Linked DNA regions of Mus musculus. The protein of the gene in region 2 purifies or fractionates together with the protein of the main gene of each other region. This does not show direct contact. Links are inferred from orthologs where the notes say so. Each region holds a gene or a part of one and is shown on either strand. Other genes may lie near its edges.

Region 1 (10,741 bases), on a different chromosome or scaffold from region 2:
ATAAAAAATTAAGTCTTGGATTTGATTCTCAATGCTTCATATACCGGGTAGTCACAGCACTAAGGAAGTAGAGGAGAGAGGATCAGAAGAAATCCAAGGCCGCCCTTATCCATACGGAATTTAAGGCCAGTAGCCTGGGTTGATACATGAGATCCTCTCAACAAAACAAATCAAATACAAAGAAGATAACATTTTAAAGAATAGTGCTTTATTGAATAAGTCTTATTCACAGAAAAATAAGCTTTAATCTACAACAAATGACAGATTATAGAGCAGAAAGCAATTCCATAAAGGAGTTTCCATAAACGAGTCATAAAATTATATTCACAAATATAGTACAACACATGACAAAAGAATTGGTCTTTTTTTTTTTCAGGTAAAGTATAACAAAAATGCCAAAACAGAAATTACACGAAAGCCATTATTACATCAAAATGCAAATTTGTTGGTAAGTATAGACAGTGATAAAATATACTTACAGAGTAATCTTAAATGCTCATTAATAATACATAAGCACATAGTAAATGCCAAACAGCTGTACTCACATCTGCAAATTTCAGCCTCCAAAAGAGAACTTTACCACTCAAGCATTACTGTCATATTGTTTAATTTGAAAGTATCAGCAACCGTCTTACTGTAGAAACTACAAAGCACCACTTACTGTGCCCTGATAAGAGTGTAATAGAATGAAGAGTTGACAAACACCTGAGACTTCCAGTAAGGAATCTATCACTAATCAGCTATATAGCTTCGGGCCAATCACCTTTCCTTTAAGTTGCCTCAACAATAAAATGAAGGTGGTGGTGGTAGTGTGAATAAGTGACTTTCTAAGGTCATTTCTAGCTCTGATAGTCAGTGATTTTATTATATAAGGAAGAAATCTACATTGCACTAAATGTTTCAGAGCCAAACTAAAATATTAAGATGGTAATAAGTTGACTGTTTCTATTGGAAAAAATTCGACTGAATTTAGTAAGAATACTTTCTCTAATTTTTGAAAAGGTAATTTAAATATTTTTAAAGGGTTGAACTATTTATTACAATTTATAGCTTTGTTACAAGAAGCATCCAGAGAAACAAATAATAGTGAGTAAAAGTTAACATAAAGAGTTTCATTTAAGCTTTAAAGATTACTTTTATTTTATGTGTACTTGTGTATGACTGTGTATGTATACACACATGCATGCACCCCTGAAGGCCAAAAGAGGGCACCAGAGCTACATGTGTCTTTGTCCATGTGGGTGCTGGGAACTGAACCTAAGTCCTCTGAAAAAGCAGCAAGTACTCTTAACTGAGTAATAGTTCTGGGCCTCTTTTAAGCTTTAGTCTAAGATCTTCCATCAAGACAAAGCCATGGAGGATTCTAAGTTGTAGGATGAGAGTTAACACTTAAGAGTATATAAGATGTTCTTGTGTTAACACTCTTGGTCTTCTCTCTTTTGTGTATGTGTCTGGGTGTAAGTGGTTACCTGCCATGTTACATGTGTGGAGGCAGCAGATAACTTGTGGATGTTGGTGGGCTCTCACCTTCCCACTTTGTTTACCATGGTGCCTCTTCATTAATACATAAGCCATTAACTGACCATGAGCTTTGGGGCATTCTCCTAGCTACTTCCTGTTTCATGTAGGCATTCTGGGATTACAGGTGCTTGGGCTAGTGCGCTCAGCTTTTTGTTTGTTTTGTTTTCTTTTATGAATAAGACAGGGTTCCCTGTCCTGGAACTCACTCTGTAGATCAGGCTGGCTTCAAACCCAGATATGTCTACCCCTGCCTCCCAAATGCTGGGATTAAAGGAGTGCACTAACCATGACCTGGCTGCTTTTATGCCCGTTCTGGGGATCTGAATTCAGGTTGTCAAGCCTATTTTTGACTAGTTCTTTCCTTCACTGATGGCTACCTTTTTAAAAAGAGAAGATGTGACTAAAATGTGAAGTATTTCTCTACCCACTTTCTTGCTTCTCTCATAGCAGTGACAGACAGGCTACTCCATCTCTCCTCTTCCTTTATCCAGTATCTGGGGACTCAGAAGTCCAGGAAGACTTAGGTCTAATGGGAACAATGCATGCAGCTAAGGTTGCAGTGGCACTTTCCATTCAGAGAGCTCAAAATATAAATCTTACTAAAATAAAAAACAGAGCAACACACTGTGACTAACAAGACAACAAACTGTCCTACCCCAGCGAATCACATTGTAGTCACTCCACTCACCTCACCTCTACCCCTAACTACAGGAAGAGGCAAAAGTCTAGGAGGAAAGACAATACTTTAATAAATGCTAAACACTCACACACATCTTGATCAACACAGTAAATAACAAATGAAAGTAACTATTACAAAATAACTTCAAAATTCACATGACTAATATGTAGTAAAACGGGTGGTTACTTCAAAATTCTAGAATGAACTTTATACAGCAAAAGACCATCAGCACGCAGACACTGAACTCTCTCAGGGGTGGTGATTCAGAGCCGGTTATTCTGTGACCTTCCGAGTGACCATTTTTTACACAACCATACTGGAAAGGATCCAGTACCTTTTTTTTTTTAGTGTGATTTCAGACCAGCTCTGCTAAGTCTCCAATAATTTGATTAGAGTTGGAGTGCTGTGATTTTAAGAACCCGAAGCAACAGCATTTTCTAAACAATTCCTAAAATAAACTTGTTAGCCACATCAGCTCCATGAATTCAATTTCGCAACTCATGAAGACAAGAAAAGAGGTCTTGCTTAACTCTCAGCACACAGGTTTTAAAAGAGTTTTAATGAACTGAGGCTCTGAGAACAAGAAAAGTGTTATTTGAAAACATTCAGTCCTTGAGTCCTAGGCTAAGGACTAGATTAAACAAACTACCTATATGACTTGTACCTGAAGTGCCTTGGAAACAATTTTTAAAACTATTCCCTGGCAGAATGCTTGAAATATAAATTGAAATTGAAATCTTAGTCAACTTAGATCAAATGTAACCTAATGATCATATAACTAAATCTAAGCAGAAGGCAGTATACAGAACTAAGGATTTTCATGAAGAAGACAGAGAGAGAGAGAGAGAGAGAGACAGTCAGTTACTTAATTCTGTTGGTTTCTATTTAAATTTGCAATTAAAATAACATCACTTACCATAGTAGTCAACAGAGGTTAGGAGAACCTAACAATACTCTTTCTCTTAGAAAATACAACAAAAAGTCTAAATTGTAACAGTTTCACTCTCAAACTGTTCTCTGTAGTAAAATAGACCAGTCTTTACAAGAGGTCTCTCATGATAATTACTTAAGGTAAATCCCGTGTTCTATGAAGCACTTTAGCTTTTGATTGTATTCATATTGACTTATACAAGTTGTTAAAAATATTCAAACAACCACTCTTCTCAGTATGTTACAATTTCCAAGGTTTTAAGGATCTTCAGAAAATATTTTTAAAGTATCCACTACCATTACTAGTCATGAAAACAAACAAACATAAAACAATCAAAGACTGAACATTTTGTACTATATACATCTTAACCATCCTAACATCGAAACCTACATGAAACTTGTAGGACACAGAATGACACTGAGAAAGAATCTCAACACGGAGAGCCAACACTAAAACTACAAGCCATATACACCAGGCGTCTACATTTACCTACGTAAGCGGACAGATGGTTACAATACTGGGTTAACAAAGATCTTTTAGTAAAGTGACTTAGGCAGGCTTCAACTAGCAAGGATTAAGGGTGAATCCTTACTAATTAATTGGAAGATCTGAGACATATTTTATATTTCATTTTACAAAATCAGAAATAGTTATTTTGAAACAAGATAAAAAGACATGATCTACCTGTCAGAAAACTACCACTCAGAAATATTTTTCATCCACAAAGCAGGTAAAATAAAAACATTTAAAGTTCACATTGGCACCAGAAAAGTTAACTGGCCTGCCTTCCTGGATTAGAAAAACTAAAACTGAGCGATAAGTAGTTTTGCAGACGTTTGAACATGCCTAAGCCTTTAAATCAGCAACATATTTACTAAGAACTCTGATTATAAAAGTAATACATACTTATAAAACCTTTAAACAGAAAAAAATGAAAAAATAAAGTGAAGGGCTCTATAAGCCCCTCTAAGACCCACCCCCCACCCCCTGAAGAAAAAATACATTTAAGAGTGTGATACTTATATTTTCAAACCTTTTTGTCCTGTACAGATACAAAATACACACAAGCTGATTTGGCTCCAACTAGATACAGTGTTTTGCCATTTGTATTTTACACTTAACTATATCTGTGTTGCCTTTCCATGTCAGTACATGCTGGTTAGATGGTAGTCTACCATTCAATATCTTTTAGGAGATGACGAAATCACTTAAAAATACTCATATAAGTACATTTATAACTCCAATAAATTCCAAGTAAATGGGCAGAATCCTAAAACACAGAAGTGAGCATCTAAAACAATCTTTATCCTCCCAGCAGCGTGGGGCAGTTCTTTCCGTGTTTACAATAAGCCAATTAAAGTCATTGGGCAGATTCCATCACATCTCCATGCTTATACAGAACACTCCATTTGTTAAGCTTATGCAAAAGGCATGAAACATGCAGGTGATGAATTCACTTACATATAGAAATCAAGTCAGTGTACTACCAATATACATGTGAAAAGCTATAAAATGCTTCTCTGTCTAAGGTTTCAATCGAGTAAAACACTGGCTAAATGATACAGCTGATAACTCGAAAGATCCAGAAATTGAATGTTTAGACGGAAACAGTGCTGTTAGCATTGGTCTCCATTTGGAAACAGCAGATGCTAATGGAATGCAATGCAGATTACTTAAAGTTCGCTCCCATCACACATTCAATTAGAGCAAGAAGAACATAACATGTGGTGCCCCACTAAGACATAAAAATTTTTTGCTTGAACGTAATGACGGTGTAGCACATGGGACATTTGTCAACTGCTTCTGCACACTGTTTACAAGTGACCAGATGTCCACAAGGAACAAAAACGATAGCAATATTTCTATCCATACAGATTTTGCAAAGCTTCTCCTCTTGTAGGCGCCTTAGCTGCTCTTCAGTACTAATGTCTGTGTAAAAAGAAAAACAACATATACTAATTTTTGGTTTTGTTGTTTAAATTCGTTGAAACATTGAACCCCCTCCTGTGTCCCAGACACTCAAGTCCTGGGAGACACGAAAATGACTCAGACATAGCAGCAATTCTTAAGTAGCTTGTGTGCTAGTGGGAGAGGCTGTGAGATACAGCCAGAGAGGGTAAGAACAAAGTAGAACATACTATAATCAAGTTACATACAGAGTGCTCTGGGGCAAAATGAACAAGTTCTTCTGTCTGGGTGGCTAGGGAAGGCATCGTGATAAGCAGGACTGCAGTGGTGTGGCAACAAATGACCAGGCAGAAAAAGCAAAGATGAGGGAACTGTACAAACATGTTGAAAGGCATGGGTAATTCCAGGAAGGGGTCTATTTGAAGGCTGCTTCTACTGTGGGACAGGTAGGATTTAGTGCTTCGATGTGAGGGCTGAAGAGAGAAAGCGCAGGTAAAGTTAGTTGGGTTTGTCAGGGTTAAGGAGGCAGTGAGAACTATTGGAAATAGAGAAGAAGGTAAAGGCTTTACAGTTGCAAGTACATTTAAGATGTTGGCAGGCTATCCACACAAAAACATTTGGGTGTAATTAGAGGATACTGAAGTAGCTGCATAGCTGAACCTTTGCCAAAACAGATTTTGTGAAATGCTAACAAATATGCCACAAAACTATGATTTGTAGTCATATATGATAACAGCAACAATAATCAACAGTAATAGAACATAAATATTATATGCTGGGCATTATTCCAAATAAATTACATATTTTAACTATATTTGTAATCACTGTACACTAATGGTTTATAAATCTGGCTTCAAATGAGAATTGGAAGGTTTTTCCCCCTTTGGGATGTGTGTGTGTGTGTGTGTGTGTGGGGGGGGGTGGTTAGCATCCTGAAAATTCAGGATACTGTATACCATTCATTGTGCCACATACCTACCTCTTGTGGCATTTTCACAAACAAGTTTTCTTTCCTTCTAAAAAATAATTTATTACATGTATTTATATTTGTGTGAGCGCATACACTGTGGCACATGTGACAAAGTGAAGAGGTCAACTTTCAGGAGTTGGTTCTCTTTGTCCACCATACAGTTCCCAGGTTTCTAGTCCTCAAGTTAGATCTTCAGGCTTGGAAGCAAGCACCTTACCCACTGATCAACTGCACTAGCTCTGCTAGGTTTTTCTAACTTCTAGGACGAGTCACATGAAACTATTTCACTGGATGTATCCCATTATGGGAACACAATGCATTTCCCTATTAAACTTTGTATATATCCTTTTCAAAACAAAACAAAACAAATTCTGGGTCTTATTATTTAGCCGTGGCCTGTCTCTGCCTCCTGAATCCTGAGATTAAAGGTGTGTGCCCCATGGCTGCCATCACTCCTTTTCATGGCATTTATGTCCTGGAGGGAACATTATTTCCAAAACGTGTTTAGAAATCAAGTTTAATCTTGTTCTTCCTTAGCAAGCACTTATTGAACACTTACTTGAGCATTTGGTATAAAATAAATAGTACATACATACACTTTAGGCACCCAATATTCACAGAAAAATTGGGAACATAAGTAAACAGAAAATCACGATATGCTAAACAGTGACAATGATATTAAACGAAGGTGAAAAAAATGACTGAAGCATGCTGCAAGAGACAGAGCACAGCATATAAGCGCGTAAGTCAAAACTGGTAATTGAATATGAAGGAAACCAGACCAGATACAGAAGGTCGGCAAGAGTTGACCCTTAAAGATGTGACAAATCATGGAAGAACTGAGACTTGATTCTGAGGGTTCTGAGAGCTGCTGAGGAGTTTTGAATCAGAGAGAGAGAGGTACTGCCATATTTGAGCTCTCTGGGTATGAAAAGGACAAAAAGGATTGTTCTAGTCTCTTCTTAAGAAACAGCCTTCAGGGCTGGCGAGATGGCTCAGTGGGTAAGAGGTAACTGCTCTTCTGAAGGTCTTGAGTTCAAATCCCAGCAACCACATGGTGGCTCACAACCATCTGTAATGAGATCTGACACCATCTTCTGGTGTGTCTGAAGACAACTACAGTGTACTTATGTATAATAATTGACCAGAGCGAGCGGGGCCCACCTGAGTGAGCGGGGTTGACCAGAGCGAGCAGAGGTCTTAAAAATTCAGTTCCCAGCAACCACAAGAAGGCTCACAACCATCTGCACAGCTACAGTGTACTCACATAAATAAATCTTAAAAAAAAAGAAAAGAATCAGCCTTCAGGCTGGGTGTGGGGCTCACGCCTTTAACCCCAGCATTTGTGGGGTAGAAACAAGTGGATCACTTGAGTTTGAGATCCAGCCTGGTCTACATAGCAAATTCCAGGACAGCCAGGGCTATACAGAGCTGTCTCCAACCCCCACCCCACCCAGAGAAAGAAAAAAGGATAAAAGAAAAACTGTCTAGAAGTAGCTTATCTGCTGTAATTTTGGTTGTTCATTGAAATAAGAGAACCATAATACTAAGTTCAAAGAGTAAAAGTGTTTATTCTATGGGGATATTATAAAGGAAATGGATGGGCTACAAGGTGAATTTTCCTATAAAAACAAACAATGCATACCTTTCTGCAATGAAGTTTGACTTGACTCATCCTCCGTATTATCTTTCTGAGCACTCACAAGATCTGCAATCAGGACCTCAAGTGATAGATAGCTGCTCCCGGATGTTTGGATTTTTTCTTCCATTGTTTTCTTAATGTCCTTGAAGCTAAATCCCATTCGTATAGCTTCTTGCACCATAGGATTCTGGAAGATGGTATCATCTGAAATCAAAGTTGGGTGGAGAAAGAACATAGTAGAAGTATTTTCATTAACATAACTAAACAGTAAAATAGTTTAGGGATTTGAGACTATCATATTGATGATAAGTTCAACAGTAGAGTGTTTGCCTATTATATGTGTTGCTGTGCCTTTGATTTCCAAAGCTGAAAAGAAAAGTGCTCGTGCACACCTTTAATCCCAGCACTCAGGAGGCAGGGACAGGCAGATCTTTGAGTTCTAGGCCAGCCTAGTCTACAGAGAAAGTTCCAAGACATCCAGGAAACCCTATCTCGAGAAACCACAAAAAGAAGTATGCTAGAGAAAAATGATTTAACTTGGTTATTTATACCTGCTACCAAGTCCATTCCAAATAATATAACGTAGCTCTGCATTTCAAGCATATTTACAAATATTTGTAGTATCCTAGATGATGTTACAACATTAGGGAATAGGGACTCACCAGATACTCTAAATTAAAACATACTGCTTCAATTGAAAAAGGACATCTTAAAAGAAAAGAATAGACAAGAAAACAAAACAAAACAAAAAACTGAAAACCCACAAATGGAAACTCCAAAAGAACTAGTGTCTGCTCGGCAGTGGTGGTGCATGTCTTTAATCCTAGCACTTGTGAGTCAGAGGCAAGCGGATTTCTAAGTTCGAGGCCAGCCTGGTCTATAGAGTTGAGTTCCATGACAGCCAGGTCTATACAGAAAATACCCTTCTCAAAAAAAAAACAAAAAAAAAAACAAACACCAGTGCACAGGTGTTGTGGTGGACACCTTTAATTTTAACACTCTGGAGACAGAGACAGAGGCAGGAAGGTATCTGGGGGTTTGAGGCCAGCCTGCTCTTCAAAGCGAGTTCCAGGACAGTTGAAATATAGAGAAAAACTCCGTTCCACACCACCACCACCACCACCAAACCCCCATACATAATCACACTGAAAATTACATTTAGGGCTGGAGAGATGGCTTAGCTGTTAAGAGCACTGACTGCTCTTTCTAAGGTTCTGATAAATCCCAGCAACCACATGGTGGCTCACAACCATCCATAATGAGATCTGACGCCCTCTTCTGGTGTGTCTGAAGACAGCTATAGTGTACTTACATATAATAATAAATAAATCTTAAAAAAACCTAAATCTACAATATGCTATGGAATTTAGAAGACCCTGTTATAGTGCTTAGTTCTATTAACAATTTATAATAGTGCATGCATTTAATTGGGAGGCAATAGCAGGCATATCTCTGTGAGGTTGAGGCTAGCGTGTTGTATAAAACAACTTCCATGACAGCCAGGGGTACACAGAGAAATCCTGTCTCTAAAAACAAAATGAAACAAAACGAAATTATACCATGGCCATGGGTAGATCACATCACCTTTGTTTCTTCAGAGGAATGTAGGACTAACTGCAGTGGATGCAGCTCAGAGTACTTACTATTCACGGCTCAGTCACCAGCACCAAACAACAACAAACACCATCACAGTATCGGCTTTAGCTGCATGTGGGGGCACACACCCCAATCCCAGCACTTAGAAACTGAGGCAGAAAGAGACAGGTCCAGGCCAGTCTGGCCTACACAGTAGACAGACTACTGGGATAGCTCAGAGGTTAAGAACATTGGCTCTTCCAGAGGACCTGAGTTCAATTCCTGGCACTCACATGGAGGCTCACAACTACTTTTAACTTCAGCCCCATGGGATCTAACACCCTCTCCTGGCTTCTGGGGCAACCAGGCATGCATATGGCACACATATATGAAGGCTGACCACCCATACAGATTAAATAAATAAGTAAATAAAAATGTAAAAATCTAAACTTCTAATCTCTTTGTTGTTTTAATACATTTTCCTCCCTCCCTTCCTTTCTTAAAACCATGCCATGCAATCCAGACTGACCACAAGTTCAGAATTCTCCTGCTTTAACATTGTGAGTGCTAGGATTAGATTTCCACCACAGCACCTGGCTTTCTATTAATGTTCTCACTACAAAACTATCTGGAATAAAATTATAAGCACTTCATTAAATTCTTAAATTTATAGCAGCCTCATTAAACATACTATAATAAATTGGCCACAAAACTAAACAGATTTATTTTTAATAGGCATATTTACCGATTTTTTTAGTTAGCGATGGTGTTTTTTCAGCAGTTCTTCCCTAAAATAGAAATATGAATGGTAAGAATTCACTTTAGCAGAAAGCAATTATCTCAATTTGAAAAGTTAATAAACTTAAAACAAATTGGCTTTATTCTAATTTAAAAACCCTGACTATTCATAAGAGCATAACCTAACGGAATGGAAGGAAGGTAAGACTATCTATCTACTCATCACCCCTTTATAAACAAGAAGCTGAGGGCCAAAGAGATCCAACGATCCCCTGGAGAACAAACCAATACAAATGCAGCTAAAAGCTAAGGGTAGAACCGTCATGTCCACTCTAGACTCCCACTGCAGTCCAAAGTTCTTCTCAGTATACTAATGCTCTGACGGCCACTGTTCTGTGTCAATTCAGACACAGTTGTTCATCTTGATTGAACCCAGGGGCTTGTTTATGCTAGCCAGAAAAGGTAAAACCCACGTATATCTCTGTCCTTATTTTTGCAATCTGAAGTATTATCTGCTAAAAGGTTACTAAAGACACACACACACACACACACACACACACACACACACCATAGGAAGACTAACAGTCAATGAACTTGGACCATTGGAGTCTCCTAGAGACTGAATCACCAGCCAAAGAGCAAGCATGGGCTGGACCTACACATGCCCCCTGCACATATATAGTAGATGTACAGCTTGGTCTATGTGGGTCCCCCAACAACTGAAGTGGGGGGGGCTGTTCCTAAACCTATTGCCTGCCTGTGGATCCTGTTCCTCCA
Region 2 (11,237 bases):
CAAGGGGCCTTTCCCCCTTGATCACTAATTGAGAAAATGCCTTACAGTTGGATCTCATGGAGGCATTTCCTCAACTGAAGCTCCATTCACTGTGATAACTCCAGCTGTGTCAAGTTGACACAAAACTAGCCAGTACACAGAGAAACCCTGTCTTGAAAAACAAACAAACAAACAAACAAACAAACAAACAAAAACCAAAAACCAAAAAGAAACCCTAACTTTTTTTTCCGTTTTTCTTTGTGTGCCCATGTGTTTGCTGGTACCCATAGAGTCCAGGAAAGGGCATCAGAGCCACAGTTATGGGTGGTTGCAAGCCACCAGAAGTGAGTGTGGGGAGGGACTCTTACTCCTGTCCTCTGTAAGAAGAGTGCCTGCTCTTAACCCCCAAACCATCTTCCAGTTGTATAAATCTTTATTTTAAGGATTCTTTTAAAAGAAAATGTATATGTGACGTGCTAGGCATGGTGGTGCAAGTCTGTGATCCAAGCACTCAGGAGGCAGAGCTGGCGGATCTCTGAGTTCAATGCCAGGCCTAGTCTCTATGGCAAGTTCCAGACTACCCAAAGCTACATAGTCAACAAATAAACAAAAAACTCCTCTCTCTCTCTCTCTCTCTTTCTCTCTCTCTCTCTTTCAGACAGGGTTTCACTATGTAGCCCTGGTTGGCTTAGAACTCTTCATGTAGACCAGGCTGGTTTAATTCACAGACATCCACCTGCCTCTGCTTCTAAAGTGCTGGGACTAAAGGCGTGTGCCATCACACAGTGCTAATTTTTAAAAGTTACATTTGTGTGTGTGTGCACTGAGGCACCTGCCGTGCAGGGAGCAGGCACTCAGGACTCAGAGGACAACAGAGAGGAATAGGTTCTTTCTTTCTTTCACTACACTGCTCCTGGGGATGGAGCACGGGCTGCCAGGCTCGACAGTAGATACTTCTTGCCTTGATAAGCCATCTCACCAGCCTTCCCAGATTTGTATTCTATAACACTGGGGTGGGGGGCAGTACAGAGAAGGCCATCCCCTCCTGTCTCCCTCTTAATGTCACCATTGTCACGGCCTGTCAGCGGAACCCCGTGGTCAATAACAGTGCTGGTTTGTTCATTTGAAGGAAGTAGCCATGGGCACAGACTGTCTGTGGGCTGTGGCAGTTTCCCTGTCGTCTTGTGGGCTCCCTCCTGGTCCTCCTGCGGGAGCTCAAGTTTCTTTCTGTCTTTCATAACTCTTTTTTTGTTTTGTTTTGTTTTATTTCCTTCTCCTAGAAGAGCATATGCTCCAGACGTTTCCTTAAGGCCTGGTATCTGGGAGGTAATCCTTTCTGAGAACTTATTTATCAGAAGACATTCTTACTTTATGCAACTGATCAAGGATTTTTGGCCATGTGAGGAATTCTAGCTTAAGCATAATTTTTCTAAAATGTTTTCATTTATTTTTGTTTGCTTTTTTTGAGACAAGGTCTCACCATGTAGACCAGGCTGGCTTCAAGCTCACAGAGATCTGCATGTCTCTACCTCTCTACCTTCTAAGTGCTGGGAGCTGGGATTCAAAGTACAGTATGAACCACCATGGCCAGCCTAAATAGCCGTTTTTTTTTTTTTTTTTCTTTTCTTTTCTTTTTTTTTTTTTTTTTTTTTTTGGTTTTTCGAGACAGGACTTCTCTGTGTAGCCCTGGCTGTCCTGGAACTCACTTTGTAGACCAGGCTGGCCTCGAACTCAGAAATCCGCCTGCCTCTGCCTCACAAGTGCTGGGATTAAAGGCTGCGCCACCACCACCCAGCTTTTTAATTAATTAATTAATTGTTTTGGTTCCTTTTTTAAAAATGTACTCATTAAAACACTTTTATTTTACATTTTATTTTGTGTGGATGTCTGATGAAGACATGTACCCCAATGTGTGTGTGTGTGTGTGTGTAAACCAAACAATAACTTAAGAGTGTCAATTCTGTCTTTCTATTCTGTAAGTCCTAAGGATTGAACTCAGTACCTCAGGCTTGATAGCAAATGCCTTTGTCTACTGAGCCATCTCACAGGCCCAATTTGTGTGCATACAAAGACTCAGAGGACAGAGTTCTCTCCATCCACCTTTACCTGGGTTGCAAGGAGGGCACTCGAGCTACCAAACTTGCATCGCTGGACGGCAAGCACCTTTACTTCTTGAGCCGTCGTCCTGAAGGCGTTGTCCCTCAAATGGAACTGCTGAGAAACCCAAAGCCATTCTAAATTCCTGTCTCTTTAAGACTTTGTTTTCTCTTTGGAAGCCAGAAGGGTCTTATGTGTTCACATGGTTCTGAAGTTTTACAAGTTTGTACAGTGCAGTGGGGCAGATTTCCTTCCCTGTGGGCATTATCTATCTGTAAATGGTTTATCCTCCAGGTCTGGGAAATTCTCGTGGAATAGTTCCACAGATGCTTCCCTTAAATTTTTTGTTTTGTTTCTATTTTTTGTTTGTTTGTTTTATTTTTTTACTGTTAGGATATTAGGATGGCTGGAATTCCTGGTCTGGTTTCTTTTCTTTAAAAAAATATTTTAGATTTTGTGTCTGTGCTCACGTGCACACACGTGAATGAATGCAGGTGTCTCAGGGGGCCAAAGGTGTTGGATCGCTCTGGAGCTGGAATTACAGGTGGCTGTAAGCCATGTGATTCAGGTGCTGGGAACCTAACTCCAGTCTACTGGAAGAGCAGCTTGGCCTCTTAAGCTCCAGGAGGAGGGAACTTGCCAGGCAAGTGTGAGGAACAGAGCTCCAATCCAGAAACTAGTATACTAGGAGGGTACGGTGACTCACCTGTAACTCCGGAAGATAAAGATGGGATCTCCAGGGCAAGCTGGTTGGCTAGATTAACTGGAATTGGCCAGTTTTGTGTTCAATGAGAGATCTTACTTCAATATATATAAGGTGAACAGCAACTGAATACACCCAGTGTCAACCTTGGTCTTCTATACACATGTGCACCACACATGTGCCCACACATGAAAACATGCACACACACACACACCACAGATAACCAAAAATATCTTTAATGTTCTTGTCTTCTAATAGGCTACCTTATTTGTGAATGAATTATATGCTTACCCTATCATATCAGCAATCTTTAAAAGAATTCTTCTGACCTTTATCCTTCTGTTTATTATTTTAATGGTATGTATGTTTTTTTTTCCTTATATTTTTGTTTATTTAGTGCTCCCTCCCCACCCCCCACCCCTATTGAGAAAGTCTCATGGTAGGTCAGGTTAACGCTGGACGCTACATAGCCAGAGGTCAAACTTCAGATGTTTCTGCTACCTCCAGTCCAGAGCTGGGATTCCAGGTATGCACTACCTGATATATACCACATCTGTTTCATACCGTCGTGAGGTTCAATCCTAGGGTTTCATATCTGTATCTGCTCGGGGAAGCACTCTACCAATTGAGTTGCATATCCAGAGGTTGGACTTGAGGTTGATCCCCAGGATTCTACTGCTTCCGCCCACCAAGTGCTGGGATTACAGGTGAGCCACCAGGGCAGGCTGTGATGTGCTAGGGATGGAGCCCCAGGCTGTACATGCCGGCAAACATTCTGACTTGGCTACATCCCTAGCAGTTTCTTTTTTGAGACTGGATCTCACTGTGGCACGAGCTATACAGAATTTTCTAGCAGGATCTTACGCTACAGCATACTGTAGTTATCACATAACAAGGGGGCTCAGGAATCTCTCCATGGAGTTGGCACAAGTAGGTTGCGAGCGAACGGGACCCTACCACTGACCCGAACCCGTAACCCCAGGATTCAGAGGGCTTCCTAAACCTGGTCACAACCGGGACGCTTTAGCGTGCCAAGATGGCGGCCGCCCCGCCCCGCGGCCGCCGAGCCCGTTCTCCGGCTGGAGCCGACTGTTGCCGAGCTTTCCCGAAAGCCCGTGGAAGCCAGGAACGGCGCGGGCGGGCGCGCGGGCGGGCGGGAGCGGCCCCGCCCGGAGCCTGGGAGCTGCGTCGACGGCACCGAGGGGGAGGGGAGGCCGGATGTGAGTGGAGCGGCCATTTCCTGTTTCTCTGCAGTTTTCCCCAGCTTTGGGTGGTGGCTGCTGCTGCGCTTCGCCTTCCCGTGCGCTGAGGGCCCGGCGGCGTGGACAGCAGTCCCGGCACTCGGCGCCCCGCCGCCCGCAGCCTCGCCCAGCGCTTCCCGAGCCCGCCGCTTCGCGCCTCAGCCACCGGCCGCCGCCGCCGCCGCCGCGGCCCACCGAGCGGCCCAGATGCAGGCCATCAAGTGTGTGGTGGTGGGAGACGGGTGAGTGCACGGCCGCGCCTGGCGCTCCGGACCCGGTGCCGCGCGCAGCGCCATCGGGGGCCCCCGCAGGCCCGAAAAGCCTCGAGCTGGCGTAGAGCGCGCGCCCGGCCTTCTGGGGGGCGCGAGCCTCCCACCCTCCCGGGCCTGGTTCCGGATTCTGGTTGGGGGAGGGCCTGGGCGAGCCGGCCGGAGGGAAAAGTGAACTCCACCCTCCTGCCTTCTTCCCGGGCCGGACGCCGCCCGTCGCCCTACTCGACTTGGCACGTAGGCGAGGCTGGTTTGAAGAATTTTTCTTGAAACATTTTTAAAAAAAATTTTTGTCTTTTGAGAAAGGGACGTATAGTTTCTTCATTTACTCAGGGTACCCCCTCGCACCCCCCCCCCCGAGAACTGGGATAGGTAACGGCCTCCAAGTCGGCCGGCCCTGGTCGATGCATGTTTGCACCAGTCACTTGGGTGACCTGGAACTTGGGAAAGGGCTCGGTTGCTTCGACTTGACAGGGTGTTTATAAAAATATTCATTTTCACACTTACGCCGAGAAAGTTACTGGGATGCTAGCTGAAGGAGTGTGATGAAGACTGTCCATTGAACGAAGTGTGGTTATTAAAAACAAACAAACCTTCTCTGAAGGCATTAGATATGGATGTAGCAGATCCAGCTCCCTGTGACTCGAGGCAATTCTTTTCGTGATTGACCGTGATGGTTTCAGGCCCTTGAGGGAGACAAGACTGGTCTTATGCAGTCCGTCCCGTTCCCCCCACCCCTTCGGTAGAAACAAGAATCTCAGTGTAATCGGAGCAAAATCGCGCGTCTCAGCGTAGCTTGTGTAGGTTCGTGTTAACGAGGAAGCTTGGAGATTTACCACCCGTTTCCTCAAACGCAGAGTGCAACTGGTCCACTTTCTAGTTCAGTCGAGTACGTTGCCAAACTTGCTTAATGCCTTCCACACTTGCAGTGAGCACTCGCCGCCCATGGGTTTATGAGCCCGTGGATTTATGAGCGATTGTTCAGCGTATTTACAGAACTCTACATTAGACTTTGGGATCGTCCCTGTAACTAAGTCAGCCAGACGGTCAGAGAACTTTATTTTTCTGCTAACATGTCTGTCTGTGGGATTTGTCTCGGAGACAGGAAGTCTCATGGATACGGTTCAATGTATTTAACGACACACTGGAATTTCATTGAGTAGGAATGTCAATGGTGCTTTCCTTTCACCTCCTAAAAGAAAGCTTTGTCACTTGGGGCACTTAGTTTGATAGTGAAGATGTTGTATTGTGGGGCCGGGGTCTTTTTGTGTAAATCCTAGTTTCTGACTGCCTTGGTCCCAACTCCATGATTCTCCTGTTAGGAGGACATGGACATAGGCGTTGGGCTTACAGGTATGAGCCACAGGTCTGCTTTAAGTGAAGGCAAGATGGCTGGGTCTGTCTGTCTGTCTCTCTTTTTGTATTGCGGTTGAACTATAACATAGCACCTTGCTGGGGAACGTTTAAAACTTACCTGAACTTTCCTTGAAAAGTTAAAAATGTTTCACCAGCAGTTTGTGGGCTGGGGAATACTACCACATTCCTAGTGTTTTAATAAGTTAAATTGCTCTGTCACCATCCTCTTTTCCTCCCAGAGCTTAGGGACCAAGGGGAGGAAGAGAGATTATAAGAGTCAGAGGTCAGGGACACCCAGCGGAAACAGTATTTTCTAGATTCCACTTGTGAACTCAGCAGCAGCTGTATAAGATCCTAGCCCAGGGCAGAGAGGGCCTAGGCTGAGTCGAGATGGGCCCTTGATGCTTCTAGGGGTGAGCCAGTCAGTGTTCTCTATGGATGTGGTCCTTGAGGGAAACTAGCCCCAGTGTGAGGCCTCACACTGTTGAGTCTATGGATGGGCAGCACAGATTGGACTAGGTGAGTTTTTAGGGCTGGGGTGGAGTTGGAAGGAAGTAGGGATGACTATGAAAAAGTACATTGAAAGACATCTCAAGACAATTACTTTTTAAAAAGGTAAATTGCTGCTGATCCAAACCCAAACCTTAGTGCTTGGGAATTCCTAAGACCTGACATGCACATGCAGCAGGTATGCCAGCACTCATTCTGTAACCCCCACCCCCAGCTGGGCCTCAGGGCCTTAGGTTTCCTGGCACGTCTGAACAGCTGAGATACGTCTTAGCCTGTTGCTGGCTTTAAAAAGAAAATCTAGTAAAAACGTGTAGAATGCCTCCTGTAGGGTTCATTTGGATTGCCACACCTTTCTTTTTCTCCCTACATTTTTTAATGTGTATGGGTGTTTTTGTGTGTATGTCCGTGCCGTATGTTGATGCCAGCAGAGGATCTCCTGAGACTGGAGTTACTGAGATCGGTGAACCATTAGGTTGTGATAGGAGTGGAACCCAGGCCCTCTGGAAGAATGACCAGTGCTCTGAACTGCTGAGCCATCTCCAGCCCTCAGTACCCTTTTAACCTACGGAGTAATCCTCAGCATATCATTTCTTCCTCAAGAGAGATGCCTCAAGGGAAAGTTAAACAAGCCTAAATGAGATGCTGAGTATGAAGAGGCTCTTGAGTGCCCGGTCCTTGTGGAGCGCTGAGCGAGTGCTGGTTACCGTTGTTGCTGTGCTTTTCTCTTCTCCTTTTCCTTTTCTTTGAGTCCAGTGCCTATTCTCCTGAGCCGTTCCCACTTGCTTCTCGCCTCACTACCGTTGTTGGGGTTTGTTTGTTTTCACTATGAGGGTCAGTGAAGAATGTTAGACATAAAAATGCAGTTCCTGGCCATGGAGTTTTCAGTCTTGTTCTAAACAGTGTATTGTGGTGTGTGTGTTTCTGTGTGTCTCTGTGTGTGTGTGTCTGTGTGCGTGTGTGTGTGTGTGTTCTCTGTGTGTGTGTGTGTGTGTGTGTCTGTGTGTGTTCTCTGTGTGTGTGTGTCTGTGTGTGTTCTCTGTGTGTGTCTGTGTGTGTGTGTGTGTGTGTGTGAAGGCACGCATCACCATGGCAAGCTTGTGAAGGTCAGAGGACCTGCAGGAGCAGGCTCTCGTCTTCCTTCAAGTGGATCCCAGGGATTGAACTTAGTCAGTCAGGCGTACCCTAACCTGCCTAGCCATCTTTCTACCCCAGTGTGCCTTTGTTTTTTAACAGAGTCTCACCTGTATATCTCTAGCTGGCTTATCTCTGCCTCTTGAACACTGGGATCAAAGGTGTGCATCACCATTTAACTGTATTTAAGGAAAACATAGTGATTGTTTTGCCTGTGTGAATATCTGCACCACATTTGTGTCTGGTGTCCACAGAGACCAGAAGACAGGGCATTGGATCCCTGGAACTGGAGTTAGGTATGGTTATGAACCACTGTGTGGGTGCTGGGAATTGAACCTGGGTCCTCCACTCTTTTGTTTTGGTTTGGTTTTTGGTTTTCCAAGACAGGGTTCCTCTGCCCTGGCTGTCCTGGAACTCACTTTGTAGACCAGGCTGGCCTCGAACTCAGAAATTCGCCTGCCTCTGCCTCCTGAGTGCTGGGATTAAAGGCGAGTGCCACCACGCCCGGCTGGGTCCTCCGCTCTTAACCATTGAACATCTCTCCAGACGCTGTATTTTTTTGTTCTGTACTTGACATTGATATTGTTGGGGCTAAGTGCCAAGAGAAGTGTACACATACCACAAGATTCGAGATTTGCATTCTGAAGGGCAATGCATAGTAAAACACTGGTTAAGAACAGTGGTTCCTAATTGTGGGTCATAATCCACTTGGGATCGAATATTAGATATTTTGCATAGTGATTTTTAACGGTAGCAAAATTACAATTAGGAAGTAGCAACGAAAATGATTTTATGGCTGGGGATCCACCATACCATGAAGAGCTGGATTCAAGGGTCACAGCATTAGGAAGGTTGAGAACCACCGTGTAGAGGTGTACATACATGGCTTTTCATGCCAATAATATTTTTCTGCTATTTAACAAATAAACTATATGCCTGAGGTATAGTTGGAATGCCTTTTATTCTGAAAAATTGAAAGCTGGCAAGCCTAATATCACATATAGTTATGAAATTTTACAGGGTTAAAAGCCGAGTGATGACAGATTGATTGAGGTCACACAAATTGCAAACTTTACCATTTAAAGTTCTTCTGAGGGATTACAGTTACAAAGTCTATTATGACCATGTTAGATTAATCGGCCTGTATTCTTGTGGTGGGGTAGTCCCTGTTCAGTAGTTAATTGACAGTGGATATAGAATCTGAGAGAGTTAAACAGAACCCATGTGTTTATCTTGGTGATGGTGTGGCATGTGCAGAGCCAGTGCCCCCCTTCCCCCCCCCCAGCCACCTCTCCCACCTTTTTTCTTTGTTCTGGTACTGTGAACTGAACCTAGGGCTTCACATTTGGTAGGTAAGTGTTATACTATTTTATTAAATCCCTACCCAGCCCCGGCCTCTAACTATTCTCCTGCCTTCACCCCTGAGTGCTGGCTGGCATCGCAGAGATGTGACATCACAACTAACTCAGTGGTTTTTAATACTATTGGTTTAGTTTTGATTGACCAGAAGGCTAACAAGCAAGTGTCTTGAAGTTTACTTCTTGTCTGTGTGTAGACTTGGGCTGGTAGTCTGACCAGTAGTGTGTCTAGCTTAGACACTGCTGTCCAGGAATTTTGTTGGTCAGCCTCCTGTGATGTCGTCCTTACAGGAATGAACACGAACAGTGATGGCATGGCCCATACATTGCCCAAGCTCTTCATGACTTATGTTTGACCTGTTACGCAAGGACTTGAATTCTACTCTGGCTTCCAAATTTAGATTTTATTATTATATTATTTTATATGCATGGGTGTTTTGCCTGCATATATGTCTGTGCACCAAGTTCCTGGTGCCCTTGGAAGCCAGAAGAGTTTTGGATCCCTTGGAATTGGAGTTACAGACTGTTGTGAGCCACCATGTAGGTGTTGGGAATTAAACCTGAGTTCTCCAAAACAAGTGCTACAGCCATTCTCTTAAGAGATGGAGCATCTCTCCAGCCCCTCTCTTTCATATCTCTTACACCTTCTTCCTCTCTATCTCTCTTTCTCTCTCTCTCTCTGTAAGTGGTTCTACATATGGAATCACTTATATATGACATAAATGTGTATCTTATCTCTCTCTACACACATACACATATCTTTCCACCCCTTCTGTGTGTGTGTGTGTGTATGTATGTATGTACGTAAAATAACTTTTGTATTTTAGCTCGATTGTCACTTGACAGTCCATAGTGATGTGTGTAGTGTCTTCAGCCTTCAGTGTCTGAGCAGCTTTGCACAGTCTCTAAGGGTGGCAGTGACTACACGTTGGTTATGATGGACCTGGTTCGTAAACTTGAGACTTTTGAATTGCTTTGTCTTTTCCTGATACTGAACTACTCTTACTGATTCATCTATTTTTCTGAACACACTCTTTCTTTCTATACCTTCTAGCTCAGAAATTAGGGTATTTCAGGTACTCAAGAAGCATGAGGAGGACACGTGTGTGGTTTGGGGAGTGCACTCACATATGTCTACATGGAGGCAAAGGCATTTTCAGTCATTCTCCGCTTCGTTTTTTAATTATTTTAAAATTTTTGTGTGTATTTTTAATGCGTGGGTGTCATGTTTATGAATGCCCACAGAGGTCAGGAGAGGGCGTTAAATATTCTTAAGCCAGAGTTACAGGTGGTTGTGAGCAGTGTGATTTGGGAGCTGGGAGCTAAACTTGAGTCTTCTGGAAGAGCAACAAGCTGTCTTAACTTCTGAGCCATCTCTTCAGCTCCCACATTATTTTTTGAAACAAGGTCTCATGTAGCTCAGGGTCGCTTTCAAACTCCCAGTGTACCCAAGGCTAGACCTGAACTCTGGATTGTAAGAGCTAGACAGGCATGCATCACCATACCTGCCCTTGAGATTGACTTGTTGTTTGGATCTTGGGAATTTAGATAATAATAATTGCCTGTTCAGCATTTGATTTGCAGCTGCCAATGGATGAGTCCGGTTTGTCTATCTTAGGAACAGCTTTTTTTTTTTTTTTTTTTCCTTCGAGACAGGATTTCTCTGTGTAGCCCTGGCTGTCCTGGAACTCACTTTGTAGACCAGGCTGGCCTTGAACTCAGAAATTCGCCTGCTTCTGCCTCCCTAGTGCTGGGATTAAAGGCATGCGCCACCACCGCCTGGCTAGGAACAGCTTTATTTATTTATTTATTTATTTATTTATTTATTTATTATATGTAAGTACACTGTAGCTGTCTTCAGACACACCAGAGGAGGGAGTCAGATCTCATTACGGATGGTTGTGAGCCACAATGTGGTTGCTGGGATTTGAACTCTGGACCTTTGGGAAGAGCAGTCAGGTGCTCTTACCCACTGAGCCATCTCACCAGCCTGGAACAGTTTTTCTTACAAGGCCATGTGCAGAGTTTTTTAAAATTCTTTTTTAGATATATACCCCATCCTTTGATGCTGGGGTTGGAATTCAGGATTGTGTATGCTAGGCAAGCTCTCTCTGCCACTCTGCTATAGCTGATACATATATAAAATTTTTGGACAGGGTTTTGCTATGTAGTTCATGCAGGACTGAAACTTGAAGAAAGGCTTCTCTCCTCAAGATTTCCAAGCTGTGATTACACACCCCATTTTCTTACCTACCTTTCAGTTTTTCATGTGTATATAAAGGAGTGTATGTGTGTGCACACACACAGATGCCTGCAGAAGAGAGTTGCAAGCATTGTGAGCCCTCTGATGTGGATGCTGTGGGTCAGACTGCAGAAGCAGCAAGTGCTCCTGGACACCGAGCCATCGCGCCAGCTTCCCTATGTATGGGAGTTTGTTTTGTTTTTGAGACAGGGTTTCTCTGTGTAGCCCTGGCTGTCCTGGAACTCACCTTGTAGGCAGACTGGCACCTGCCTCTGCCTCGTGAGTGCTGGGATTAAAGGCCAGTGCCGTCCCCACCCTGATCTTTATGTGTTTTAATGTGAGGAAATTGTC
Region 3 (10,741 bases), on a different chromosome or scaffold from region 2:
AGATGCCAGCCGGGCAGCACGGGATGAGATGTTTCTACAGTAGGCTTTCTACAGGCGGCGGCAGCATGTGCTGCTGTCTGAGAACCTCGGAACCTGCTTCCGATGCTCAAGTTGTCTGCCATGTGGAAGGTTAAACCGCGTTAGGTATTTAGTTTGGCAAATGTTCAACATAAAGTAGAAATGTAGTCGTAAGCATCACCGATGTGCACATCCAGTCTCCATCTCAGAAGGAACCGTAGGTACAGATCAGAACTCTCCCTATAGGAAATAATTTACACACAGATGGGGGCTAGCATATCACTATCTAAAATAATCACTAAATACAGTTCTTTTTCAGAAATAAACAAGCAAGTTTTTTCATTATCAGTTATCAAAAACATAGTGTTAATGGTATTTCAAACAAATGATACTCTAAAATCATAGAATTCACTGAGTTTTGAGAATGTATAACTAAATCAATCAAATGTACTGTAGTACAACCATATTAGGAAGCCAATGATCAGAAAATACAACAGCATGAAGAAAATTTCATCCACAAAACTGTTTTCAGGCTTTAAGGTAAAATAGTTCCACAGTTTACAGATAAAACAAGGCAACAGAAACTCGTGCTTGTCTTGAGTAAGTACTCTATGCAGAAGATGTAACACTTTGTTTGTAGACAGCATGGTATGCATTTCTCAGCAACACATAAGGAAAACAAGATTCCAAGAGATCCATTGTCAGGAATGGTGATTCTTGTACAATCTGAAAAAGTTAAAAAAATATCAAAATTCAAGTTACTCAATGGGGGTAGAAAACAACTCTATGTTCTTCTCATTTGAAACACACACAAACCATTTTACTTCAGAATCTAAAATGAAAATGTGTTACAGTGAAGCCTATCAATATACTTTTAAATGATATTTTCAAGTTTATCAATTAATCAATAGTAACACATAGAAGACACATCTTAAGCAATACTCTAAACATAAAAGTGAATACAAACGTAATACAAATGTAATGGTACATTTTAAGAAGCTCAAAATCAAGCTAGAAAGTAAAGTAAAAAATAAGACCAGCTATGATTAAATAGAAAGCAGTAAATTCTAGAGTTCAAGAGGAAAGAAAGTCTAATGTAGGCCTGTGTGATTGGGAAAGATCATCTAGGGAAGAAATGGAGTCATGAGTTCTGCTGAGTCTTCAGATAGACACAGATCTCTACAGGCAAAGGAAACTAAGAAGAAAGAGTCTCAGACACTGCCATGGCAAGCTAGAGAATTAAACTCGGCTTAGCAGGAATATAAAAGGCCTGAACACAACCTTACAGTTAACACTCACCTTTGGTCTTACGACTTCCTATTACTGACCTATGGCAAAAAAGGAGCAATGCAAGTCTTTGCAGAAATTTTTAGAAAGTGTATGGTTTGAGTGAAGTGACCACAAGAAATGGAGAAAAAAAAAATCACAAAAGAAACAGAACAAAACACCAATAAAACTTTCACTTGCCAAGAAGAGGAGTGCTAAGGACTGGAACATTTTGTTATCAGTAAAAGTTAATTAAATTGAAATGAGACATACCATATCCAGTAGCAAATAAACAGATTCTCTATTTCTTGTTGTAGTTTTATCTGTCTCTTGGCCAATTTTCAGTAGACTGGATGATGCAAGCTTAAAAGAACACACATGTAATCAATGAGGTTGGCAAAGAAATGCTGTTCACGTCCATTCTCAGTACAACTCAACCTTCAACAAGCTTCCGTTATTCAATGTGTAAAGTACGATGAGCTAGAGACCTCTTATCAATCAACAATTAAGGTATACATATAATCAAATATTCGTCAAAACTAACTTTTTGCTCAAGTTTGTTTCTTAAAATGATTCATATTGTTTTCTCTTCCCAAGATCCATAATACTCTACAGCAGCCACCCCCCTTTTACAAATAGTTTTGCTTTTAATGGCCAAATATGGTTGGAAAGCAAAATAGAAAATTCCAGAATTTCCTAATTTCCAATAATCAGTTTCTAACTTTGAATTCCATGCCATTCTATGTGTGACTCTGCTCCATCTTCCTCAGGAACAGGGCTGTCCCTCTGTCCTGCACACCCACACTATGTATATACCTGCATGTTAGTTACCTGCTGAATGACATGGTAATGCAGTGTTTCTGTTCAAGTGCCCACACCTCAGCATGGCTGCTTGCAAATGTACAGCCGAGGAGGAGGAGGAGGGGGGGTAGGGGGGGAGGAGGGGGGAGAAGGTCTTTCCTTCACATGAGAATGTAATGTTTCATGAAATATATAAATGACACCCACTCTAGCGCCAGCTATGTTCTAGCAACTGGGTTTCCCCGCCCCCATGTGGTCCCCTTGTGGCAGCCTCAGTCCATCTCTAGCCCAGCAGACAAGTTTCTATCAAGATCCTGAAATCTCTAGGAAAAGCTAATCTATCTGCAGAAGGTAATTTATTCTAATGCTGCCACCACATGTCAAACTGAAGGTTATAGCCAAAGTGTATGCCACTGTATAGAGTGATGGACACAAGGTCCTCAGAAATAAAAACTATAATGTGAATGACAGCCATATTGTTGGAAGACGGTTTGAATTAAAAGCCTTGTAACTAACAGACAACATCTGACCACTCTGAACTTCTGCAAAAAGAGACAATAAAAATGTAATGCTGGAAAAAAAAATGTAATGCTGGACCACGTCTGTAATCTTAGCACGCCTGAGTTCGAGGCCAGTCTGGTCTACATGAGTTCCAGGACAGCTAGGACTACAATAGAGGCCCTGTCTCAAAAATCCCAAAAATGATGATGAAAGAAGGGAGGGAGGGAGGGAGGGAGGGAGGGAGGGAGGGAGGGAGGGAGGGAGGGAGGGGAAAATGTGATACTGAATGTTTTAATCTGACCAGAGTATTATTTAGTTTATTAAGGCCATATCCACCTCCCTGGTATTTAACTATAATCAACTAGCAATCAAAGGAAACCCCAGGATATAATGCAGTACTGAAAACTATCTGCTATTGTGGGCACAATAACATTCATTAAAGCGGCAATGGATTAGTAAAACCAGGACTGATATGAGGAACTCATGGATACAGTGATGGATGAGTTGTTTTGAAGGCTTTCTGGGGATAGACAGGAAAATTAGGAAAACCGCTTAAAAACAACAAGACAAGTTGGTGGGACAGGACCTGCTGAACTACTTGGTGAAGACCATGCTGCAGTACACAAAGCTCACAAGGGCTGTAGAAGACAATACAAAGTAGAGGAAGTGAGAGCAGAAGCACCAAGCACATGTTACTGAAGTATGCCAAAGTGTTCTACGCTGCATAGGTTCTAAAGGTGGAGATTAAAGGAGTAAGGTCTCTGTGTGGAAAACAGCACTGAGGTCAGCCACATGGTCCCTGAAAGATTATAACCTCTGCACCACTGCTTTCATATTCAGTAAGAACTAATTACAATATCCTTCCAAGGTCTCTTTTAAAGGCTGTTGAGAATTCCCAGCCATCGCCGTTATTTGCTACTAATGTCCAAGAACTCCTCGCAGCCATGTCTGATGGGCACACTTAACACTACTCTCTCTTGGCAGCAAGTCAAGATATTCTCCCGGTAATGATCATTATCACCCAAAGCAGAGGATCCTCCCCTTGAAGCACTGTCTAAAGCCCACCTCCAACGTCCACCAATGTCTACATCGTCACCTCCATTTACCTCACACACACCAGTGTCATCTCAGGGTCACAAGAAGGGTGGACATAAGACAACAAAGCATTTCGAGGGACTTCACTCTCCTAACTGTTATTATGGCATGCAAACTGGTGAAACCTTTCTATTATTTCCATTAATAATGTATTGTACTCTAATACTTTCCTGTGTGTGCATGGATGCATACAGTTCAGTACTATTCCTGGCTTCAAGTACCCTCTTGGCGTGGGGAACTCAGAAAGCATAATCTATACATGAGAGGTGAACACACTGTGTACTTTTTAGATCCTAAATAAGGCAATTTCAATCTGGGTTTGTATTCATAGTAATTTTAAGGACATTAACTCCCCAAGTAAAGTAAATAAAAGGAAAACAACAGAATTATAATAATGTTTTCAAACTTGAGTTCCTTCTTAAATAACTGTTGTATTTGCATATATGTATTTATATATGTGTACATATATATGTGTGTGTGTGTGTGTGTATATATATAAAAACCAACAAGATTTTCAACAAAGAAAAAAACTAAATATTCTAGGGTTCATTTTGCTTAAATTATCTGTTCTTTAAGCAATTATGAAAAAGAAGCATTGGTAAAGAAAAATACTGCACTAAACCATGTCTGGTGACAGATTTAACATTACTCTCTTTTGGTAGCAAGCCACATGTAATTTTATGGTTTGTTTGTTTGTTTATGTGCATATGTATATGCCTTCATGACTGTGTACAAGTGGGCATCAAATCCCAAGAACTGTAGTGAACTGTAGTGAGGTAGTGAGATGTCTAATGTGGGTGCTAGGAGCTGAACCTTTGGAAGAGCAGTAAGTATCCGTAACTGCCATAGCCCTGTGAGTCATACTTTTATTGCTGACTTTGTACCTATTAATAGTATTTCTTCAAATAAGTAGGAATAAGGAAACATACCTTCTGCTACTGTTTTAGATATTTATTTTTATTTTTCGTGTGAGTACCTGAATAAATGTGTGTGGTGTGTGTATGTGTGTGTGTGTGTGTGTGTAGTACCCATGCTGGCCAGTTCCTGGGACAGGAGTTACAAGTGGTTATGAGCTGTACATTGTAGGTCTGGGAACTGAGAGGCAAATAATCCTTTTTTATTTTATTTTATTTTATTTTATTTTATTTTATTTTATTTTATTTATTTATTTTGGTTTTTCGAGATAGGGTTTCTCTGTGTAGACCTGGTTGTCCTGGAACTCATTCTGTAGACCAGGCTGGCCTTGAACTAAGAAATTTGCCTGCCTCTCTGCCTCCCAAAAGCTGGGATTAAAGGCGTGTGCCATCACTGCCTGGCCTTTTGTTTTGTTTTGTTTTTTCGAAATTGCATCTTTTAAAGAACACATTAGCTCTCTAGGCTTCCACTTTCTTTGAAGAAAAAAACATCTTTTGAATGTGAAGACAATCTCTACAATCGTCCTACCCCTTGGAACTGTAAATGATAAGGGCTAAGTTATTTTAAGGCACGCCTTCTCAGACCCTAAAATACCCCACTGTCTGAACACACACACTACCCTCTGCTGCACCTCTCAAACATTATTTTCAGCAAACAGGCCACATAGCAGAGCTCTGGAAGGAAAGACCCCAAGCTAGAGGGAAAACAATGATAACCTTGATGCAATCTATCTTTCTAAAACCAAAACATTAAAAAAGAAACAAGATTTAATACTTAATAAACTGAGAACAAAAATGTCTTTGGAGAACACTAAATAAGATGTAAAAATGATGGGAATTTACTGTTGTATAACATAGGCATAACTTTTTGTTTTCTTTGTAAAATGTCAAGCTATTTGATTAGACATACCGCCAGGAATTCCTTAAGTCGGTCTTCAATACTTCCTTTGTGAATTGTAAACAAAGCTGCAGCAATCTGGTTGATGGCTTTGGCCAAACAATGTATATTGTTGCAGTGTCCTGGGAGAGAACAAACAGGGCTGTGTAGTCTGCATGACCACAAAATATTATTGTAACACACAGACAGCATGCTTTAGTGACTCCTCAGACCACGCGAATGGCAGCATGACTGACTAAGAATTAGGGTCCACAGTGACTTACTCTTTTTATTTTATGAGCATGCATGTTTTTAAATATCCCAGCAAGGATGCAACTAATGACCACGTCAGTACTTCATTAGTAGGCAAACACTCTAGAAAGACATGATGCTTCGTCCTACCCCTTGGAACTGTAAATGATAAGGGCTAAGTTATTTTAAGGCACGCCTTCTCAGGCCCTAAAATACCCCACTGTCTGAACACACACACTACCCTCTGCTGCACCTCTCAGCTGAACTACACAACATTTCACAGTTCAGAAAATTAGGATGCCCACTCCAAAGCTACTGTTTGGCAGAATTTGAGCACTATTTTATCAGAAAAGAACATTACCCAGAGAGAAAAATACATGTAACACTAAAGCCAATGTTCTTTCATTGTTACAATTGTAAACCAAGTACCTTCTATTGCAGGGCTGTACTGTGACATTACATTGCTGGCCAGTGTAGGCAAGGAAACTGCTACAAAGACCATCAGGAGACAAGCGATCTTGTATTCTTCCTCTGGACTAATGTTCTCTGCAGAAGAAATCAAGGAGTGAAAATCAAGCTTTCCTCCAGATTATTTGAAAGTTAATAATCTAACCTAAAAAATAAAGGTAATAAACTACTTAAATTTCCTAATTGAAAACTGATGAATAATTATGAGAATACCATACATATTACTATTTATAAATTTCTTATCTTATTATCTGAAAATTCACTAAAAGAAAAACAATTCCTTTCTTTCCCTAGGCTAGCTAAGAATATATAAATACACTGCTTAAAGGTTACCAGTATTGAAAAGGGGACTGCGTTACTTATTTCTCCATTCTAGAAGACAGAAGGAAGCAGTTATGAATGAAAGTATCTAACATACTCAGTAGCTATAAGAACAATAACCTTTAATAAAATACCTAGCGTATTTAAATAGCTCTGTCTAGCACTTGGCTTCTTATCTGACATCTGAGAACTTCTAGTTACCCAGCAGTTGGCAATTATATGAAACTATGGATTGATCACAAGAAAACAAAAACACAGTATATTTTTAAAACTTTGGTTGATCATAAAAATACCTATAAGCAATAATTTATATATTATTTGAATTAGGAAAAACAGTGTAATTAAAAAGAAAACTAATAAACTCAATGACTGCAAGTTGGCTTAAAAGAGTAGAAAAGGGGCTTAGTGGCTAAGAGCACTTGCTGCTCTTGCAGAGGACCCGAGTTCAGTTCTCAGCACCCACATGATGGCTCCCAATGGTCTGTAATTCCCGCTCTGAGGCTGATGCCCTCGTCTTCACTCCTTGGGTACCAGGCATGCACACAGTGCACATAAGTGCAGGCAAATTATTCATATACATTAAGTAAGTGAAAAATTTAAAAAGAAATTAAAATCAAAAGGGTGGAGAAGGCATTTCAATACCAAAACCAAACCAATCAAACAAAAAACATCATCAACAATAACAAAAAAAACCACCCCACCTTATTCACACTGTAGAGAAACCAAGATTTGGAACATAGTTGATACTATGTTTCAAAGAACTGGTTTTAAAATTTCTAAATGGTCAGTATTATATAATGTAGCAACTTTTTATGGTGAACATCTATTCTAATTAAAACAGGACACCATTTTCTAGTCCCAGCTCTCTGGCTACCATAAGGGCTGCCTTCCACCAGCATACAAATGTTCTCTTCTTCTATCTCCAACTCACAAAGTCCTTTCCACAAGCTGGGGTATATATAGCTACAGTGTAGTGTGTAGGGCCTACCCATGCTTCCCAACACAAGCACTATGTCTTCATCCCAGCAGAGCTGTTCCATATCAAGTGTGTCCAGTCCCTTCTCTCACACTCACTGACTTCAGAGACACCGATCTCAGCACCACAGCTCTCTAACAGTGCACAGTTCGCGATTCGCTTTCACTGTCTTAGGAGCTTTTTCCCAAGTGCTTGTTTTTTCTCTGATTACATTGGTCCTTCCATCTTAGTCTGTATTATGCATTTCTTCCTCTTCTCCCTGAACTCACTACAGCTGAAAGGGCACTGTTTCTTTGCACCGCCCTATCTATCTACACCAAATGACTTTAACAGCTTCATCTGGTAGTATGGCTTGGACAGGATGTAATGACTAAGCTATAGCAAAAACTCCAAAGCAAAGCATTTTGTCTTTTGAATCCTGATGTATTCCAATTATAAATGAATAAATGGGTGAATAAAGCTTAACATAAGACATTTTAAAAAACAAATACTACGTGTATACCTAGACTGCCCTATAATTTTAATAAGAAAGCTCCATATTTGAATGCATTTTACCTGATTTTTGTGAGGAAAGAGCTACGACTAAGGCAGGATCAATCTCACATGGTAACCCAGCAGCCGAGGACAGCTCATACACATTCATTGCAACCTGACAAAATACAGCAATTACAAAGAGATAAATATTTTAACAAACGTCTGAGAAAGTTTACTTTAGTAAGAAAATGTCTATGGTGTCCATCAGTCTGCCCACGAACCTACTAGAAGATTTCAGCACCTTGGCTGAAGCAGGGCTGACAGTGCAGGTAACCCACACCAGACAACGCTCCAACCCTGCTCTTTGTAACTTCCCACTGTGCAAACAAGGCTTGCAGCCTCTCTGTGGCAAGCTCCACAGAATCATCCTAAAGATACTTTTTGTCTTGCAAAGATGGAAGTAAAATATCAAGTCAAAAGAGAGAAAGAAAGCCAGTTGTGGTGGCTCACACCTATATATCTGCACTTGAGAGTTCAAGGCCAGCCTGGCTACAGAAGGAGCACCAGCTCAGCCTGGCTAGAGTCAACACCGAAAGCCAGTTATTATGACTGAACCTATGCTTACATCCACAGTTACTTAGTGAAAAACTTCAGGGATTCAATGCTTAATCAGAGCCATAAACATAGCAAATTAATTACAGGAAAAAAATTAAAAACCTAAGAATCTGATAAAGCAATCTAATAATTTTCTATCATGCATAGATTTTAATCATTCAAGATATGCTGAGTGGTATTCTAATTAAAACCTGTATACATAGTTGGCTATCATTGATATTAACAGATAATAAAGCTCAAATAGAAACAACCATGAACTAAGTTGCAGAGACGCACACTGCTCACAATACACCAACTGAATTTCAAAGTGCATCAAAGATATAAATGTAAAAGCTAAAATTTCAAAAATTTAGAAGAAAATACAGGCATAAATTCTGATGACCTTTGTCAAGACAATATTTGTTTGTTTGACAGCAAAACTGTAAACAAAAGAAAAAACAGATAAGTCAAAGTACGCTGAAATGAAAGAGTTCTGTGATTCTTGGATACTAGCAAGAAACTGAAAAGAGAACTCAGAACCATGATTCTACTGAAGATGTATTACTGCTTGATAGTTCAAAAATAAAATGATGCAGGCCAGTGACAGCTCAATGGGAAAAGGATTTTCCCCTGGCATAAACCCGGCGATGGAGTTCAACCCCCAGGCCAGGCAAGAGTGAAAGGAGAGATCCAACTCTGCAAACACAGGCGACACACGGTCTAAAAATGGGCAAAGGATCCAGACAAACCTCTCTCTAAAGAAGCCATACAGACACATCACAGACGTGTGGCAGCCTCGAGAATGAAGGAGATGCAAACCAAACCAGCGTGATACCTCTGCACACCTACTAAAATGGCTCTCAACATGAAGACAAGGACTGGATAGAGAAAACCCTGGCACCCTCCTTGTTAGCAATATAAACCAGTCTCGCCACAGCCCATCTGTTTGGTGGTTCCTCAAAGCTAAACAGTTTCTACAGAATCCATTTGTTATATAAGAGACCAAAAACATCAACATGGATAAAAAGGTAGCATTATTTACAACATCTAGAAAGTAAAGACAACCCACATCTGTAATTGATAACTGAATAAACAAACTAGTACATTCATCCAATAAAACACTAAAAAATAAAGTACTGTGCTAACACATGCTGAAACATGGTGGGCCATGAAAACATGCTAAGTTAAAGACATCGAAATCAAAAAACTCTCCGTTAAATGATTTACACACAGTACTCAAAGAGGGATGACTTCAGAGACGTAGCTATCATCTAAGATGGGGAGTGAGCTGAAAGTGGGGAGCTCCTGCCCTGGGTACTGATGCACTTGGGGATGACAAAACTATTCTAAAACTAATTGTGACCTGTGATGGCCATGACTCTGTGACTATATTCAAAACCATGGAACTGTACACTTTAGATGAGCATCTTTTATGACACAAGAATAAAGCTGCTAAAAATTATGTTTGGGATCTTCAAATCAAGTCATTTTTTTTTTATTGAAAGTTTGCTAAAAACTCAATTTAAAAATTATACTAAGTAATAAGAATTGGATAATTAATTCAATTCGGGCACTATATTAGAATTCTCAGCACCCAAACATCAGTGTGCTCATAAGAACTATTTAACCTTGTATTTTATTTCTACTTAGAAAAACTCATTTTCTGCTCTATTCATAGTTTCAGTCATAAAATTATAGAACAATCATTACTCTCAAGTGCTAACTTCTATATAGCATTATAGGAAAACCAAAAATGAAAAGAAACAAGGCCTTTAAGTTGTTTATTATCTAGTATAAATATGGGCAGAAGAAAAATAAAAAAATTGTCTACTAGCACTAAGAAAAAACTTTTTTATCATTGAGGAATCTAGGTTCTTAGAAAATGGCAAGTGAACCTGGCCTCACAGACAGGCAGGACTTCCAAAGGCAGAGACAGAAAAGGGAAGAGTTTCAAGTAGAATTAAGGAAGAGGTAAATGGAGCCTGAGAGAATGCTCATAGACTGTTAGGTCAGAAGAGACATATGAAGAGAGGCAGATAATGGAAGCAGAGTGGTAGATAAGCCATTTGAATAAAGCAAGCACAATGGCATAAATCTGTAATCCCAGCATTTGGAAGGCTAAGGCAGAGGCAGGAGGATTATTTAGAGTGGACAGCCAGTCTGAGCTGCACAGGAAGACACTCA

The links.
Region 1: the proteins of Rac1 (region 2) and Xiap purify together in Homo sapiens (affinity purification with western blotting; 3 studies listed by BioGRID and IntAct, with this or other methods). This does not show direct contact. The link is inferred for Mus musculus from reciprocal best matches to the Homo sapiens genes RAC1 and XIAP.
Region 3: the proteins of Rac1 (region 2) and Nckap1 purify together in Homo sapiens (pull-down; 4 studies listed by BioGRID and IntAct, with this or other methods). This does not show direct contact. The link is inferred for Mus musculus from reciprocal best matches to the Homo sapiens genes RAC1 and NCKAP1.

The regions. Positions count from the first base shown.
Region 1 is NC_000086.7:42,099,110-42,109,850, reverse strand, and holds the end of Xiap (E3 ubiquitin-protein ligase XIAP), read right to left. Parts: intron 10,015-10,741; coding exon 9,972-10,014; intron 7,856-9,971; coding exon 7,655-7,855; intron 5,061-7,654; coding exon 4,867-5,060; 3' UTR 187-4,866; downstream 1-186.
Region 2 is NC_000071.6:143,520,788-143,532,024, reverse strand, and holds the start of Rac1 (ras-related C3 botulinum toxin substrate 1), read left to right. Parts: upstream 1-4,031; 5' UTR 4,032-4,227; coding exon 4,228-4,262; intron 4,263-11,237. UniProt on the Homo sapiens protein: Plasma membrane-associated small GTPase which cycles between active GTP-bound and inactive GDP-bound states.
Region 3 is NC_000068.7:80,500,668-80,511,408, forward strand, and holds part of Nckap1 (nck-associated protein 1), read right to left. Parts: intron 8,139-10,741; coding exon 8,045-8,138; intron 6,271-8,044; coding exon 6,154-6,270; intron 5,616-6,153; coding exon 5,506-5,615; intron 1,648-5,505; coding exon 1,558-1,647; intron 745-1,557; coding exon 628-744; 3' UTR 1-627. UniProt on the Homo sapiens protein: Part of the WAVE complex that regulates lamellipodia formation. The WAVE complex regulates actin filament reorganization via its interaction with the Arp2/3 complex. Actin remodeling activity is regulated by RAC1.